2 linked regions of the Struthio camelus genome follow. The protein of the gene in region 2 interacts with the protein of the main gene of each other region in a pairwise test. Links are inferred from orthologs where the notes say so. Each region holds a gene or a part of one and is shown on either strand. Other genes may lie near its edges.

Region 1 (8,428 bases), about 11 Mb from region 2:
AAGGTTTCAGGGCAGCGAAAACGTTCATTACCAATTGTGATGACTTGGCCATCAGGCAATTCATAGCTCTTTTCCAGAGACGAGGAAGAGGCAGCAGTGGCCATTTCGTTCTCAAAGTCCAGTGCAACATAGCACAATTTCTCTTTGATGTCACGAACAATCTCACGTTCAGCTGCAGACATACAGAAACCAAGTCAAGGTTTGGAGAAGCAAAACACTAGAGGAAGAAGATCCATGGATCAAGGGAGACATGAGGATATTCACAAGAGGGCGAAGCTGAAGGACTGACCTGTTGTCACAAAGGAATAGCCACGCTCAGTGAGGATCTTCATGAGGTAGTCAGTCAGATCCCTGCCAGCCAGATCCAGACGCATGATAGCATGAGGCAGAGCATAACCTTCATAAATAGGTACATTGTGGGTGACACCATCGCCAGAGTCAAGAACAATACCTGGGAGAGAATTGTTAGAGAGTAGCTGAATTCACCTAACAAATGTTTGGAAACCATATGACAAGCAGTAACACAGACAATTAAAAAAAGTAGGATTTTTCATGTGGTATAAAGTAGTGTCATTCTATTTTAGCCAGTTACTAAAAACAGACCTTGTCCATTCCTTCTGCCTTTGCCTGCACAGATATTCCTGTTTGGTGTGAGCGCTCACATGAAACAGTTGCCCATAAGTATTTTAAATGAGGTCCATCTGAGCAGCTTTTTCCTACCAAGTATGTGTGATGGTGATTGCCTTGATCTGAAAATGGACATCTTTTGGGCCCAAGAGTTTAACTCTTGCACAAGTTTTACACCAATGTAACTGCAATATCTTCACAGTAATCACTCCTTATTTACATCATGACAAGCAGGAGAATCAATTCCACAGTGTCTCCCCTTTAAAGCAATGCAGACAAATTCACATTGTTCCTTCAATAGATTCTTTTGTAGTGGCTTTTCGGCTACTGTTATCGTCAGTAACTACAATCAAAAAAAAAAACCTACATTTTTTTGTAATTTTGAATGAGTTACTTTTTTTTCCTATTTGGACTGTTTATTTTACCTGTTGTACGACCAGAAGCATAAAGGGACAAGACAGCCTGGATTGCCACATACATGGCAGGTACATTGAAGGTCTCAAACATTATCTGGGTCATCTTTTCACGATTTGCTTTAGGGTTCAAGGGGGCTTCTGTGAGCAGGGTGGGGTGTTCCTCAGGAGCCACACGCAGTTCATTGTAGAAAGTGTGGTGCCAGATCTTTTCCATATCATCCCAGTTGGTGATGATGCCATGTTCAATGGGATATTTCAAAGTAAGGATACCTCTTTTGCTCTGAGCTTCATCGCCTACATAGGAGTCTTTTTGACCCATACCAACCATAACACCCTAAAAGAAGAAAATGTAGAAAACCGTTATTTGAGGAAGGCAGCATCACAGAGCCTGAACAATTATGCCACAGAACACTACGCTATTTTGCAGAAAGACGCAATCAGTCATGCCAGAAAAAGGTCATTTAGGAAAGGAAATGTGCATTATCTAAACATTAAGCCAACACAATTTTACATTTTTCAATAAAATCCTTTTCCCTTTAACAGATGAAAGGATCAATTTTTTTCCCCTTTTCTAAATATGACATTGATTTTCAATTAGCTCTTTCTTTCTGGTCCAAAAGTTTGACTGAAAGTAAGCTGCACAATATAATGAGCAGGAAAAGAGACCTAGGAAGAGAGTTTATAAACAAAAAGATGTGGAGGGAAATAATCTAGTGAGCAATGGCAGTCTAGTCAATGGCAATACCAAATCGCTTTTGTTAAAAAAAAAAAAAAGGCACTGCAAACTTTTTAGCATGGAATTGTAGGAGAAAAAGTACTGTATTCTCTGTAAGCCAATTTAATCGTGACAAAATAGAAGGGCAATGAAACGGGAACAAGCAAAGGGAGGCCTGAAGGGTGGTGAGAAGGTAAGATTAGAGACAGACAGAGAGAGAGACACACAGAAGAAGCAGAAGAAATTCAAGGGATGGGGTCTGGTATGTGTTAGATAGGTTAGATAGGACGGGTAGGGGAAGGGCCTCGAAACAAATTGTGTCGGGCATAAATTCAGTCAACTGAGGCGTGTATGGGTGAACAGCAGCAGCAGGTCTGGCCTAGTGGGAAGCAGCTCTGCAGGAAGCGGGGTTCAGCCCGGGTTCCCCCGCTAGGAGAGGGAACAGGGAGAGAACGAAGGGGAAAGCTGGTGAACTGGAAAAAGCTGGGGGAAGAGGAGAAGCTCACAGCAGCGAGATAAAGGGGACCCAAACAGGGGAGCTGGGGGAAGCACTGGAGAGGAACTGAGGAAGTAGGACGAAAAGAAGGGAGGAAAGCCGGAGAGGAGGCGGCGGAGGCAGGACACACGAGCTCAGGACAGACGACTTCTGGGCAAAGGGGGCAGCCTCGGCCCTGCCCCAGCGGGCAGCAGCTTTACCTGGTGCCTCGGGCGGCCGACGATGGACGGGAAAACGGCCCTGGGGGCATCGTCGCCGGCAAAGCCCGCCTTGACGAGCCCCGAGCCGTTGTCGCACACCAGCGCGGTGGTCTCCTCGTCGTCACACATCCTCGGGCAGGGGCGCGGACCTGCAAAACAGCGCGGCGGCGCGTCCAGAGCGGGCCGGGCCCTCGCCCCACCGCCGCGGCCGCGGCTCCCCCTCCGCTGCCGCGCCGCCCTGGAGACACCGCCCCCCCCCCCCCCACTCCCGCCTCCGGCTTCGCGGACCTTCATTAGCACTATGGTTCATTAGCGGTACCTTCGGGCCACAGATTTGTAACGGAAGAGAAAAGCGTTTGAAATCGGAGAGGGAACGGCTCGGCCTCGAGCACTTCGCCGGTCGGGGCCCGCCCGGCAAAAGGGGGCAGCGCCGCCGGCCCCGGCCCCGGCTCCGGCTCCGGCCGCGGCCGCGCCCCGCCGAAGGGCAAAACCGCCGCGGCGGCTGCACAAGCGGACAGCGCCGCCCGCCCGCCCCGCCCCGCCCCGCCCCGTCCCGTCCCGCCGGGCTGGCCGCTGGCGGAGCGCTGCTGCGCGGCGCGGCGCGGGCAGCCGAGGGCGCCGCCGCGCTACTCACCAGAGGGGCGGCGGCGGCAGCGGCGGTGGCGCTCCCGAGGCGAGGCTGGGTGCCGGCCCGGGGGAGGCGCGCCGCTTTATACCCCGCGCGGCGGCGGCGGCGGCTCCCGCGGGACGGGGGGCCGCCGCCGTCTCCTTATTTGGTCGCTTCGCGCCATGGAGGCGCCGCGCGGCCATGAATGGCGCAGGGCGCGGGGCGCGGCGCGGCCGCCCGGCCCTTGTAAGGCAGGCGCGGGGCCGCGCGCCCCCGGCCCGCCGCATGGCCAAATTGGGAGCGGGGGGCGCCCGGCGGCCTGGGCGGCGGCGGGGCCCGCGGAGGCGCCCGCGATGCCCCGAGGGGCCGGCGCGCGGCTTCAAGGCTGAGGGAGGCTGAAGGGTCTCCCAGCCCCCCCAGCCCCAGCCCGGCTTTTCTTCTTTAACCGAAGACAAGTCGGGCTCTTCCTTAGTCGACGACCCCCGCGGTGGCCACGGCTCGGGCTTTGGCTCTGCGCCGTGGCGGCATGTGCTTGCTGCGTTGCCTGGGGAGGGAGCGCCGCCCGCTCGGTGTCTTTGCAACTTTTGAAGAGCCCATGCAGGCAGCGGCCGTGCTTCTCCCCGATTTTGGCTGGCAGCAGCTATAGCACGAAGTGGGGTCTGCTGGTTCGCGTTAGCCTGCATGTATTTAAACTCCCCATTTTTGCCCTTTTAATGCGCCCTGGATCAGTAAGGCATAGTGATAAGTGTAGGGCGGAGGAGGAGAGATGGGAATAGCTTGGACAAGAAACAGCTACGGCATTAATGTAATGTGGCAGTTGTTTTCCTGCTCAGTTGTTGAAACATCCACACTGATAATTTGTTCCAGCGGTAGAACCTAGCAAATTCATATTTCTTAAAGAATTTTTTTTCAGTTAAAAATAGAACCGCTGGAGAGGCATCCCTTGAGTGGGTTTGGCCTGGTATGCGGAGGCAGAGACTGTCAACCTGTGTCCTGGAGGAGCTGCATTACAGTGCGGAGTACAGTGTCTTTGGGGAGCTCACAAACTACCCCGCGCTGATGTCTGCCTGCATAAGACGCACTGGGAAAACAAGAATTGAGTTTGGGGGCAGAAGGGAAGGGTGGGATGTGGGGGTCAAGAGGGGAAAGCTCAGTGAACTGGATCCACCGCTGAACACACACAGGTCGAGTTTCTTAGCTGCTGCAAAAGGGCTGGCACCGCTACGCAGTACATTTTGAATGAAGTGGAAGGAAAGAGCTTGTGAATGTCATCCGGCCTGCAATTTTTCTCTTTTCTTTTCTTTTCTTTTCTCTTTTCTTTTCTTTTCTTTTCTTTTCTTTTCTTTTCTTTTCTTTTCTTTTCTTTTCTTTTCTTTTCTTTTCTTTTCTTTTCTTTTCTTTTCTTTTCTTTTCTGGTGTAGGAGCTATCTTTGCACAGTGATTTGGCTCTAACAAAGGGTACAAAGACTGGAAATTGCCTACTACTCATTTCTAAATCGGATGTAACCAAAGGGGGCGTCAGACTCTTAGACTTTAATTTCTTCTGAAACAGGAGATAGTGGAATCAGTTTGCTCGTTTCTAACACATTTAATGAGGTGGTTAGCTCCACCCCAGCCCCAGCTTATCTTGGGGCTGTGCCCAGTTATGAACACAACTCTGAGATACATATAGCAATACACTTCTTGGCCATTGTTAGCTCCTGCTTTTCTTTAAATGCCTTGAGGAGAGACAGTCTGTTTCAGGTGAGACACTATTTGTATGTAAAGATGTGTGTGTATATTCATAAATATATAAAAGTATATATATGTATACACACAAATATATGCAAGATGTGTGTGTGTGTGTGTGTGTGTGTGTGCGCGCACACGTGTGTATGTATGTATATATATACATATATGTAATCTATTTTTTAGCTGTGTGGGAGAGTGAGGTGCAAGACTGTGAAGTGCAGTGACCTAAAAAGGTTACAGGAGGGAAGGACTGTCCTTCAGTGCTTCTAGTCTGGAACCAGTGGCAAACATTGACTTTGCTAACTTTCCTGCTATTGATGAAAAATCATCCAGCATCAATACTGGTGAGATAAGGACTCCAAGTAAGTATATAATTACCTAAATCCATCAGGCGTAGGTAGCGGGGTTGAAAATATTTTGGTGATAGCAATGTAGATTTCCATATGCCTGTTTATATAAGAAGTCATATATATGCATAGATAGCATGGACTATGTGTGCGCAGAGTAACATTTCAATGGAAAAATACATTGTTGTACCCTGTTTTTCAGTTTAAAAAATTCAGTACATTTTAGTCCATAGTGAGTTGCCACATACAATTTAAATTTGCTTCTTTTTTTCCCTACCACATCTTTTCTACAGAAGCCATATAACGTGAGGGATTGGCCAGCTTCACCGGCACTAGAGATTAGCTTTCAGTGTTATCTCAGCTGTTCCTCCGTTCAGAGGTGTTACAGTATTTACATAGAAGCCAGTTGCTGATAGCTGCATTGAATTCCTCCTCAATCAGACCTTCCCTGTCACATCCTACATTCCCCTGGGCTGGGGAGAGAGAGACTCTCTGTTGAAAGTGAGACAGACAGAGCCAGCTCTTGCATGCAAAATCTATGCAAGGCAGCCTGCATTTTCTTCTGTTTCCTTTATAAGTAAATATTGGCTTTCTCTACCCTTTCCTGAAGTTTTAAATTTCTGATACAGTAGGATTCGTATCTGGGATCCTGATACACTTGAGAGCTCATCACTTTCTTTCCTCTCTCTCTCTACTTACTGTATATCGCAAGGTCAAATGAACAGGGCATCACACAATGTACGTAAATCCAAAATGGCATCTGCTCCCTCCTAGCCATTCCTAAAAGTGCCCAGATAAACTTATTCCTTTGGCCAAAGTTGTCCTGCTCTGCAAAAAGTGATATTACAGCCTCAAATACACAAAACAAGCCAACAAATAAAAAGCTGCTGCAGCGTGTTACATAAAGTTAGCCAGAGGAAAAATACTCTAGTTTCTGAATGACCGGGCTCCCTAACTGCTCTATGCATTTCCCATGACTTAGCTACTGGGAGGCACCCCAGAGGCAAAGGAACAGCAAGCAGAAGGGAGGGTTAGGACAGCAAACAGACCTGCAGTGGACTGATCTGCACACACCTCAAAAGAGCTTGAACAGACAGGAATATGAAGGCTTAATGTCTAGCCAGAGTCAATGGAGTCCCACAAATAATATATAGATAATGGGGTAGCACAAATAATGTGTTTATCTGACACATGGGCATAAGCAAAACAGGATGTGTTATTCAACTAATGAGACACTTTTGTGACTAGAGTCGAAATCAGAACACGACGAGTGAATTATGAGTTCTTGGCGCTGCATACTAAAAAATGCAAATAAAAAAAATCACACTGTGGTCTTATGATGCCCAGAAATCCTCACATCTCCTGTTCCTATTCAGCTTTTGAGTGAGGAAAACAGGTAGTCTAAAAATAAAACCTTGCTTCAAGCATTGAACACTTATTACCCCAGACTTCAGATTATTTACAGTAGTGAACATGGCATTCAGACAATTAAAATGTGTGGGATCAGGCCCTCTTTATGTGTATTTTTTGATCTTTCTGATTATATTTGGTTGTCTATAGATGCTCCAAAGAAAGCCAATAAACTTTCATAATACATCAAACTCTATCATTATGTTGATTTCAAAGTACAGTATACCCTGACCTGGTACATCTTAGAACAGAAGACTTCCCTCTTCTCACGGGCTAAAGTCTCCTATTTCTAAATCCTGTGGATCATGACATATAAAATTTGTCCTGGCTCAGAGCTGACTCTTACCTTTCCTAAGCCTCAGGCCAGTGTGATCTTTGGAAGAAATTTTCCCTCTGTAAGAATAGGAAGCAAATACTGCTCTGACAGGTTTTCCTTTGTCCCATGACAGCTGTTTGGAGCTGCATGTGCTTTAGGAATATAAAAAGCATTGCAGAGTCTTAGAAATGGGCAGGAGTCCTGATGCGATGAGAATGTTAAAGGTGCACTGCAACGTATCATATGAATATCATCATCCCATACTTGGGGGGGGGGGGGGTCATGTGTGGCTGTTTGTGTCTGTGCAGTTATGTCTAGTATTGTCCGTGTCTGTGCAGATATACACAGGGAAGCCAGAAAAGACAACTCTGTAGTCGCCCCCAACCTACAGGCGTTCCCTATGAAACATTCCCTTATATTTCCCAGTCTGATTTTGAAAGTCCCAAGTGAGGAATCTTTCTCCTGTTCTGCTACAAGACAGTCTCCCAAGTTAATAATCACACTGTCAAGCAAACTTCTCCGGTCAATTCAGATGTTTCCCTTTCTTAGTTGCATCTAATTCGCACTAGTTATAGTCCATGTATCATGCTCCCTACATTCCCTGTCTCCTCCTCAGCATTTAAACCCTTCACATAGTTGCAGACTGTTATCATCTCTCTCCCTCTTTCTCTCACTCACTCATGTACTGCTGCACATCTATAATTAACCTAAAACATCTTAAGTGTGCACTGAAATGATAGAATGATGAGGTGGGCACTAGGAGTTAGAGATGCACCTAAAACATCTTGTTATGCAGCTGAGAGAAGCAGGGACGGGCAACAAGCAGAGGTGAGCAGTAGTGAAAGGAATTTATGCTTCTGAGTCTCTGACCCTCAGGAGTCATTATTTGCAACGTCACTTACAACTAAAGGCCGAGGTTCTCGCTCCTGTTATACTCTCTTTGCAGCAGGAAGAAGGGCTCAGAGACCGTTGAGAGTTTCTGAAAACATGAAGGCTGCACGGGAGGAATTTCTTGCTTCCAGAAATGCTGTTTCTCTCACAAGCTGTAGCATGGCAGGTGCGACAGGGGTAGGACTGAAATGAAATCCCGAGGGACACAGAGTAGTTCAGGAAGATGGAAATAGGTCCTGAGCACATCAACTGTTTCCAGCGTGTATGTTGGCTGCCAGTCCTGTGCTGCATCTGTGAGAGACACCAGCTTCACATGAGACTGCTGACGGACAGTTTTTCTAACAGACTCCAAATCTCATTTTGACTGTTTAGTTATAAAAAAAAAATTCTGACTTGAACACCAGAGGAGATGGAACATGAAAGACAGCTTTGTGCGTGTTTGTTCAGCGTCACATAATCATCCCTTGATCTTTGATGAGTCTCCAGACGCTAGCACTGTACAAATAAATAGCAACTCTAAAGGTAATTGATAGATCAACCAAAGAGTTTGAGAGTCTTTTATATTAGGAATAGCTCCACAAAACACCAGTGCTTAAGGCTAAATTCTACACAGTCATCTGAAATTTGTGATTATTTTAATTTAGACTACATTTCCTTCTTGCATGTGACTGT
Region 2 (7,762 bases):
TAATGTTTGGCTTGTTTTAAACCTTGAATTACAGAAAATGAAAATATATCTATATGTATTATTATTTATTTTTGTATTACTGTAGTGCATGGAAGTTCTTTACATTATTGTGCTCGATGCTTACGAATGTAAAATGAGGAGCTTCTATTCAAACTAAAATTCTACATCCCTTTCATTATTATGCAATATTGCTTCTTATGGAATACCAGTAGGGCTGTGCACTTACAGCCAGGTTATTTATAAACCTTTGATAAAATTTCCTAACCTGAACTGCAAAATATAGACTTCTCAGTGTATAAAAAAGATGAACAAAAATGGACTGATTTTCAGAGAATATGACTAATACCAGGCTTCAGCTTTTTCCAGATTTAGTAATGCCCACATTTTCCATTAAGTTGTGTTTATGTACTAAATTTGATGTTTAAAAGGTCAGCTGTTTCCTCTTACTGTCACAAAATATTATTACGGAAATGGTTGAGATCTTTTAACCTTTTTTGTCTTTTTCACAACAAAAAACAGATCAGCCTTTGAACAGAGACCAACTATGAAAAGTTTAAATGAGAGAGATAAAAGAACAAAAAGTTTCTGCAACTGAATTCTGCAAAAAGTGATGTTTTTCAACGTTTGATAGTTTGTTCTGAAACTGAATTGCTGCTGATGTTCTAAATGCTGTTACTGTTGAGGAGTGTATAGATATTCTGGAAAGCCACTCCAATTCTTCTGGTATGCTGTAAAGAAATAGGACAGTGCCTCATCCTGAAGTATTTGAGTTGGACAATTTGTAATAAAAGAATGTCTGTTGGGAAATCTATTTCACGGCTTTAGTTTAAACGTTTACAGACTTTTTTTTTCTTTTTTTCTTTCTTTCTTTTTTTTTTCTTTTTTACGTAGTGAACAGGTTGTTAAAAGAGCAGATGTGATAGAATATTTCTGATTATTCTCTGGCTTGAAGCATTTTCCCTTACGTATACACTGGATGCCCTAATTCCAGTAATACACCCTAGAGATCCTCATAGAGTGTTATAACTATGTGATATGCAAAAGCCAGGAATCACGATTTGTCCAAGAAGGAACTGCTAGATGCTTATTCAGCCCTCCTGAGATCACACACAACATTATCCTGTCTTGACATGGTTTGAACTATATAAACAACTTGAAGTAGAAAACCAAAGGGATTAATATCTCTTGGGAGAATACAAAGATCCGCTCTAGAAGTTATGGGGCATGTGACTGGTTCTGTCTCAGTCAGAGTGGGTAATAAGAGCTTTTCCTCCCCCTGCTGTGATCATCACAATGTTTGGGCTCGTTTGTTCACAAGAATTGAGTAGGACTAGTGATATTAGATGCCTGTCAGATTTCTTCTCTTTGGAGAAGTAAGCTGGAATAATAAGGTCCATTTTTCTTCATCGTTAACTAGCAAAGGTGGGCAACTTCACAGTCAGAGAAGCCCATCCTGAGAGGTGCAAAATGTTAATATGAAGTTTTTAATCTATACAAAAGGAATTTACAAATGCAAAAACTGACTGCTTTATCAAAGGCAGTTAAACCATTAAAAATCAGAAGTAACAATGCCTAGGAGATTACACTGTCAAATTTCAGCTACTCAATCTTTTTGCCATCATTGGCAATCGCAAACATTTGATCTTTCAAGAAATCTCAAACATCATGTGATTTTAAAAATATAATACATTTATGGATATCTTGTATTTTGTGATTGGTGAACCTTTACAGCTCATATTTTCAAGGTTTTCTCTACAGTCCCGAGGTCTGGTATATACTTATTTTTTACATAAGATTGCACTTTCATCTGATCCCAGAAACTGCAGCTCTAAGAACATCAAATGTTGTGATAGTTGTGTAGAAACTGAAGAACTGATGACACCACTGTCGCTTCAGAGTTTTAGTATAGAAGGACATAGAGAGTCTTGTTGAAATGAGCCATGCTTTAATGCTTTGCAGTTCTTAATGAGCGACATGGTTTGGATTTGTGATCTGTCTCTGGCAGCGTCTGATTCCAAATATTTGGCCAAAATGAAAGATCTTCCTAACAAATACAGGCTCTTTTGTTGTGGCAGGCACAGCAGATTTTCCCCTTGACCAGCATAACAGGGGATCAATGGCTGTTCAGTCTTTTGCAAAGTACAAAAAGGCCTACATTAATAAGTATCAACAGCTATTACTGACTAACCCTGGAAAGTGTGTGCTGTAAAAAAACCGTGCATCTCGTACTGTACATTCTGATATTAGTGATTCTGAGTATACGCTGGCATCAATGAAATGAAAGTCTGGCTCTAAAAGTGAAGAATCCCAGATTTAGTACAGTTTCCTCCATCACTGTATACTGTATTTGCATTTTTCAAACAATCATAACTTTACCTTTCAATATCTTTTTTTCAAACTTAATTGTGGGCATGGAGCGCTCCGGAGCCATCTTTCTCTATCCACACACATGTTCTGCAGGTAAACTCTCCCTAGCTGTGCTTCCCACTGTCTCTTCTTCCTCCTTCTCAGACACACAGTGTCCTTGCACCCCATCTTATACTTTCTAGACCTCCTCTTTTTTCCTGTGTATGCATCTCCTTAGTTCTTAATTTTAAAGAGAGTAAGTTCTGAACCAGCTGCCGTGAGCTTTAATTTTCGTAGAGATTTCACTACCAAAAAATACAATCAAAGGTTGCTACTGATACTTTCTGGCAGGTATCATGAAAAAAACCCCAGGAGATATTTATACCGCCCAAAAGGCCCAAGAGAGAGACTATAGGCTTCTTTCACAGCCCTGAAGGTGACTGGGAGAGGAGGTGAGAAACGGAAAAAATCGGAGAATTCAATATGTTTCACCTCTATCCTCCCCCCTCATCCAAAGTCTCTGGAGATAATTTTGTGACTGAGGGTTGCCAAATGAGTTACTGATTTCTCTACAAGATTACCCGACATCTCGGTTTTAATAAGTTTATAAAATATTGTTTCTGTTCTCTCTCTATTATTTTGTTATTGAGGCATCTCATTTCTCTAGCATACAAAAACTAGCCCAAAATTTTTCTGTCAGTTGTGATCCTTACCTGTTTTCTTTACAGGCTCTGGCATCTTCACTTTGTTTCTGCTGAAGCTCCCAGTTGTATCTAGAAAGCAGGATCTGAGCTGAATAGGAATGAGACTGCAAGGCTTTTGGGACCCCCTAAAGAAACACTGAGTGGAAGCCCCCATCCTGCTCCTCCCCCTTGATTCCCCACTGTTGTCAGCTACGGCACCTTATCAACACCAGGACACACTTGACAGACTACATCAGCCAGGATAAATATAGCAAGTTCCAGGAGCCAGAGAGCTCACACTGCTCAAGACTGGCTACCACTGATCTATTGGTACAAACCGGAGGACAATCTGATGCTGCACATGCATACAATGCTTTTTCTGTCCTCACATATATATAATTCATTAAGAATTCCTACACTGCCCGTGTTTATAGCACATTTTATAAACTGGATTTGGCAATTATATGTCCTGTATGCTGGTTCTATACTAACTGTGTGTGTTTGCTTGCATACTTGCTGCTGTTTCAGGCTCTGTTATTGTTATAATCGAGTCAGACCTGAATGGCTCCTCAGAAAGCTTTTTTCTTGTTTTTTTTTTTTTTTCTCTTCTACTGAAGACTCTGTAGAACTAAATGTGAGCCTTTGGGAAGGAACTTACTTTTTCAGAGACACTTGTACATTACTGACATTTGCAGTCACAACTGGAAAGCATGACACTACTTAAATAGTTTCAGTCATCCCTCCCCATCCACCCACTTGTTCTGCAGCATAAATCTCGTGAAAACTGCCAGACATGTTTTTATTTTTTTTAGCACCATTTGAAAAATGGTTCCAGGGCTTTATTAGATACCTCTAGAAGTTTTAATTTGGCTGAATTACGTAGAAAATCTTAGGGTATCTCACCAGGAAATTATTCTGGTATTGCTATTTCAGAAATTGTCACTCAGTGTCTGAATGTTGTCTATACTTTTATCACAGCACCTCCTATTCTTTTAGGACAAAAAAATAAAGCTGTGCAGGTTTACATAAAACACTAACTTCTGAAGATGGTGTGTCTATAACAGAGATCGCGGCCTCACTTCCAAAGTGATGGAAAGGTCCTGCTTGCTCTAAAGCAGATGGGGAATTAATCCTGCCATCCGATGGGTGATAGAAGAATTGCGTGTGAATGTTTCCCTTTGGAAATGTATTGGATGCTCTAAACCATGCTTCCTTTGAAAGGTGATACAATCATACTTTAGATTAAATTCAAACGATGTGTTATTTGTGGGTAGTAACCATCTGTAAGCCATTGTTTCCTAGGGAATTTGAGAGAAGTTTACACTAATCTGAAAAATAAAGTATAATGGGATAATAGGTCAGCAAGGATATATATAAAATCAGATGATGGAGTGTTCCCAGTGTGTATTAGGATGGAAAGCTAAACAATATACTCCGCAGTTCTTTATTAATGCTGGGAGTGGAGCGTACAGGAGTTCGTCCCTGTGGTGCTTTCTGAAAATTTGTAAATAAGATTTAGTCTGTTCATAATCTCTCTTGCTTATTCATGACAGATACTTAGAAACTTTTTTAGGGCTAAAGAGTTATGGACTGCTATGAGTGCCTGGGAACCTTTTCCCAATGCCTTTCATGTTTCCCAACCTATAAATATATATATATATGTTTTTAAATAGTTAGTCCTTACTCAATGTGAGTGTATCATTTTCCTTTTCCTGAATGGATTTTTCACCTACATAAAACACCTGCCATCGTATTTTCTTTGGCTCTTTGCTTAGGATTTCATTTAATCTATTCCATATCTTTCTCACTGTAAATTTGATTCTCTTTGTAAACATGTAGTGGATGTGGTTTTAATTCAGCGAGCTACTGAAGGGCTTGAATAACTTTAACTGTGGACTTCATTTTGATTACTTTTGTGCTCAGAATTAGGCGTATTTGATACAAGTACTGTGCTGACTCAGTCCCTTAGCTGGGTATTCTCCATAGATACTTTCCAGGATTTAGAATCATGTTTAATTTTGAGAGGGTATGAGTTACTTCTTCTCCTAGTGAAACAGAGCAACAAGAATTATTTCATCTGACACAGGGAAATGATCCTATCCCACGGTTATAACTTTACCATTATGTGATTTTAAATATATTATTTAAAATATGTCAGCTTGTTCAAGGCAGAGCAAAACAAATGTTTTCCCTGCTATTACACTTCTGGTTACCAGGTGGCAGCATTGTAGTGTTAATGAACCTTTTTCTAGCATTTTCTATATTATTTTGTTTATTTATTTATAGAGCCACTTTCACTAACAAAACTGCTAATACAAATGAAATATATGATAGGGATTGCTTCACTGTCCCAAAAATAGACCCATGTGTGTAGTGGATTGTGATAACTTCTTATCAGTGCACCACAACACTAGACAGTTTTTAAGAAAGTATATGAAGATTCATCCTCTACCGCAGTGAAACTAATGCACGAACATGTAAAGAAATATGTAATAAATATATCTGGAGTTTTGTGAGAACAGTAAATAGGAGGGAAAAGGGTGTCCTTTCTTGTCAGAGGAACAATCTTACAAGTCTGAAACTATTTTTCTGTGCCTGAGACAGTGGCTTTGTCATGTATTTCAGAGTCAAGTTTAAAAAACAACAGTAATAGATGACCTGCAGTGACAGGCTATGTGATGTATCTTCCTGATTTTGGATAGTTACAGCCTGGCTTATACAGAGAAACACAAGGATTTATTATTTATAGACAAAGTTAGCAGCACCTCCTTCTAATAAGACTACCCAACTTCCTATTAAAAGAATGTGTTTTTAGATGGTTACGACTTAGACCAAATTTAGCTGTTCAGGCAGAAAATATATATACTGCTTGTCTACTCTGGGCTTTTTTAGCTTTTTGTTTCTGTCACACCATCTGATTTTTTGTCTGTATCTTTTTATCTTTCTACCTTTCAGGTTTGTTTTGTGAAAATATCACCTCAGCAATCCAGGGTCTGAGGACAAGGTTAGTATAATTAACTTGCAGTTTTCTGGGTTTTAGATTTACTGGTACAAATGCTGAGATAGCTGAGCTGGCTATGTGCAGAGCACAGGTCTGGCAGGATTCGTTTGCTCAAGTGCTGCACCCCATGAAACCAGCTAGACTGTTTCCAGGAAGAACTTGGTGTCTTAGTATTGTGCTTTTGGACCACAAAGCTCTGGGGCACGTGGTGCAAAGGCACTTGACCTCATTGGCAGAACTCGGGTCTCTGAGGACTTACTAGACCTGTGTTAATGCTGATCCTGCTCATCAGAGCTTGCTCCTGCACAACCATTTTATATCCCTACACTGTACATCTCATATTTTGGATCTTTCTAGACATTTGATGCTTTAGTAGCTTTTAGTTCAGGGGTGTACTTTTGACTGGCTACATGAAAATCAACCTGAGTTGTTCCATGTTATAAACTACAGAAAAAAATGCAGTTTACATATGCTTAGTGAGAACTTCTTAGATTTTATCCTCTGAAAGTTTTAACTGTTATCAGTTGTGGTCCAGTACAGGGTTCAGCAGGTTTTTCCCTGCGTTTGTCTCTGGGCTGTTGTGGGGCTTGAGCTAAATCCATGCACTTGAACTGAGAGAAAACAGCATACTGAGAGAAAGCATAATGAGAAACAGCATACTGAGAGAAAACACAGACTGAGAGAAAGCATGTCTTGTGTTCCAAATAACATCTCTCAGTCTCAGATAAAATGGAAGGGAAAGCTGTCTGATCTGAATGAAGGGGGCAAAGAATTGGACCTTCAGGGAGACAGACGTGATAGAGTGGGACAAGCAAAAATAACAATATGTGATTGAAGGGTAGGGTGGGAAGAAGAAAACTGAGACTAGAGGTTGTGGGAGGGGTTTGAAATCAATCTTCAAAAGACAAGAATATTGAGTAGGAAGCTGGGGTACAAATGAGAGGGAGGGAAGAGAACTAGGAGTTAGTAACTGATGAGACTGAAACCGTAAGGGGATATGAGATGGGAAAACTAGAAATGACTGAATAAATGTACTGGAACTGAGAACCATTCACATAAAGAGAAGCCAGGAAGAGGCAAGTGTCGGAAAAGTTGGTATGAGAGGAAGAAATAAGACTAGCTGACAAAAATTGAATGCTGACTTTGAGGATAAGGCAACTGGGATCTAATACGGACATGTCTGGTGGCTGGGTCTAGAGACAGAGAAAAGCTGAGTGAAGACCTCGGAGTGGATAACTGGGACTGGCTGAAAAAGGAAACAGGAACAAAGTGCTGGTGGATGGAAAAAAGTGGAAGACAGAATGTGTAAAGAAGAATTCTATAATTATGTTTCCAAAAGCAAGCACTTAAAACTCAGGAAATTAGTTGGTTAAACCTAAAAGAAACCCAGACTGATTTGTATAGGCAAATGCCCAGCTCAGTACCCAAACATTCTTGACTTTGCATAAAGCAGAGGCATCCAAGCATTCTGCAAAAAGGCATCAGTGGTCAAAGGGCTTCTCGCAGAAGAGCACTGCTGCTCTGCTGCTGGGGAGCTGAAACAAAAGCTCAGAGGGAGCCTTTAAAGCACAGAAACTGCATTCCTTCCTACCACAAAGCCGCTTCCCCAATCCTTTGCATAACCTTGGTCTCCCCAACACCTCCTCCCACCCTTCCTTCTCCTCCACCACCTCCTGCTAAACCTTATCTGCTCTACCACATCCTCATTCTTCTCCTGTCCATAGACTGCTCT

What was found. The genes of interacting proteins can lie anywhere in the genome.
Region 1: the proteins of MYBPC3 (region 2) and ACTC1 interact in a two-hybrid assay, tested with the Homo sapiens proteins (2 studies listed by IntAct). The link is inferred for Struthio camelus from reciprocal best matches to the Homo sapiens genes MYBPC3 and ACTC1.

The regions. Positions count from the first base shown.
Region 1 is NC_090946.1:50,646,666-50,655,093, reverse strand, and holds the start of ACTC1 (actin, alpha cardiac muscle 1), read right to left. Parts: upstream 3,327-8,428; 5' UTR 3,089-3,326; intron 2,907-3,088; exon of another isoform or gene 2,774-2,906; intron 2,604-2,773; 5' UTR 2,584-2,603; coding exon 2,455-2,583; intron 1,378-2,454; coding exon 1,053-1,377; intron 452-1,052; coding exon 290-451; intron 173-289; coding exon 1-172. UniProt on the Homo sapiens protein: Actins are highly conserved proteins that are involved in various types of cell motility and are ubiquitously expressed in all eukaryotic cells.
Region 2 is NC_090946.1:39,214,607-39,222,368, reverse strand, and holds the start of MYBPC3 (myosin-binding protein C, cardiac-type), read right to left. Parts: upstream 3,334-7,762; 5' UTR 3,205-3,333; coding exon 3,060-3,204; intron 1-3,059. UniProt on the Homo sapiens protein: Thick filament-associated protein located in the crossbridge region of vertebrate striated muscle a bands. In vitro it binds MHC, F-actin and native thin filaments, and modifies the activity of actin-activated myosin ATPase.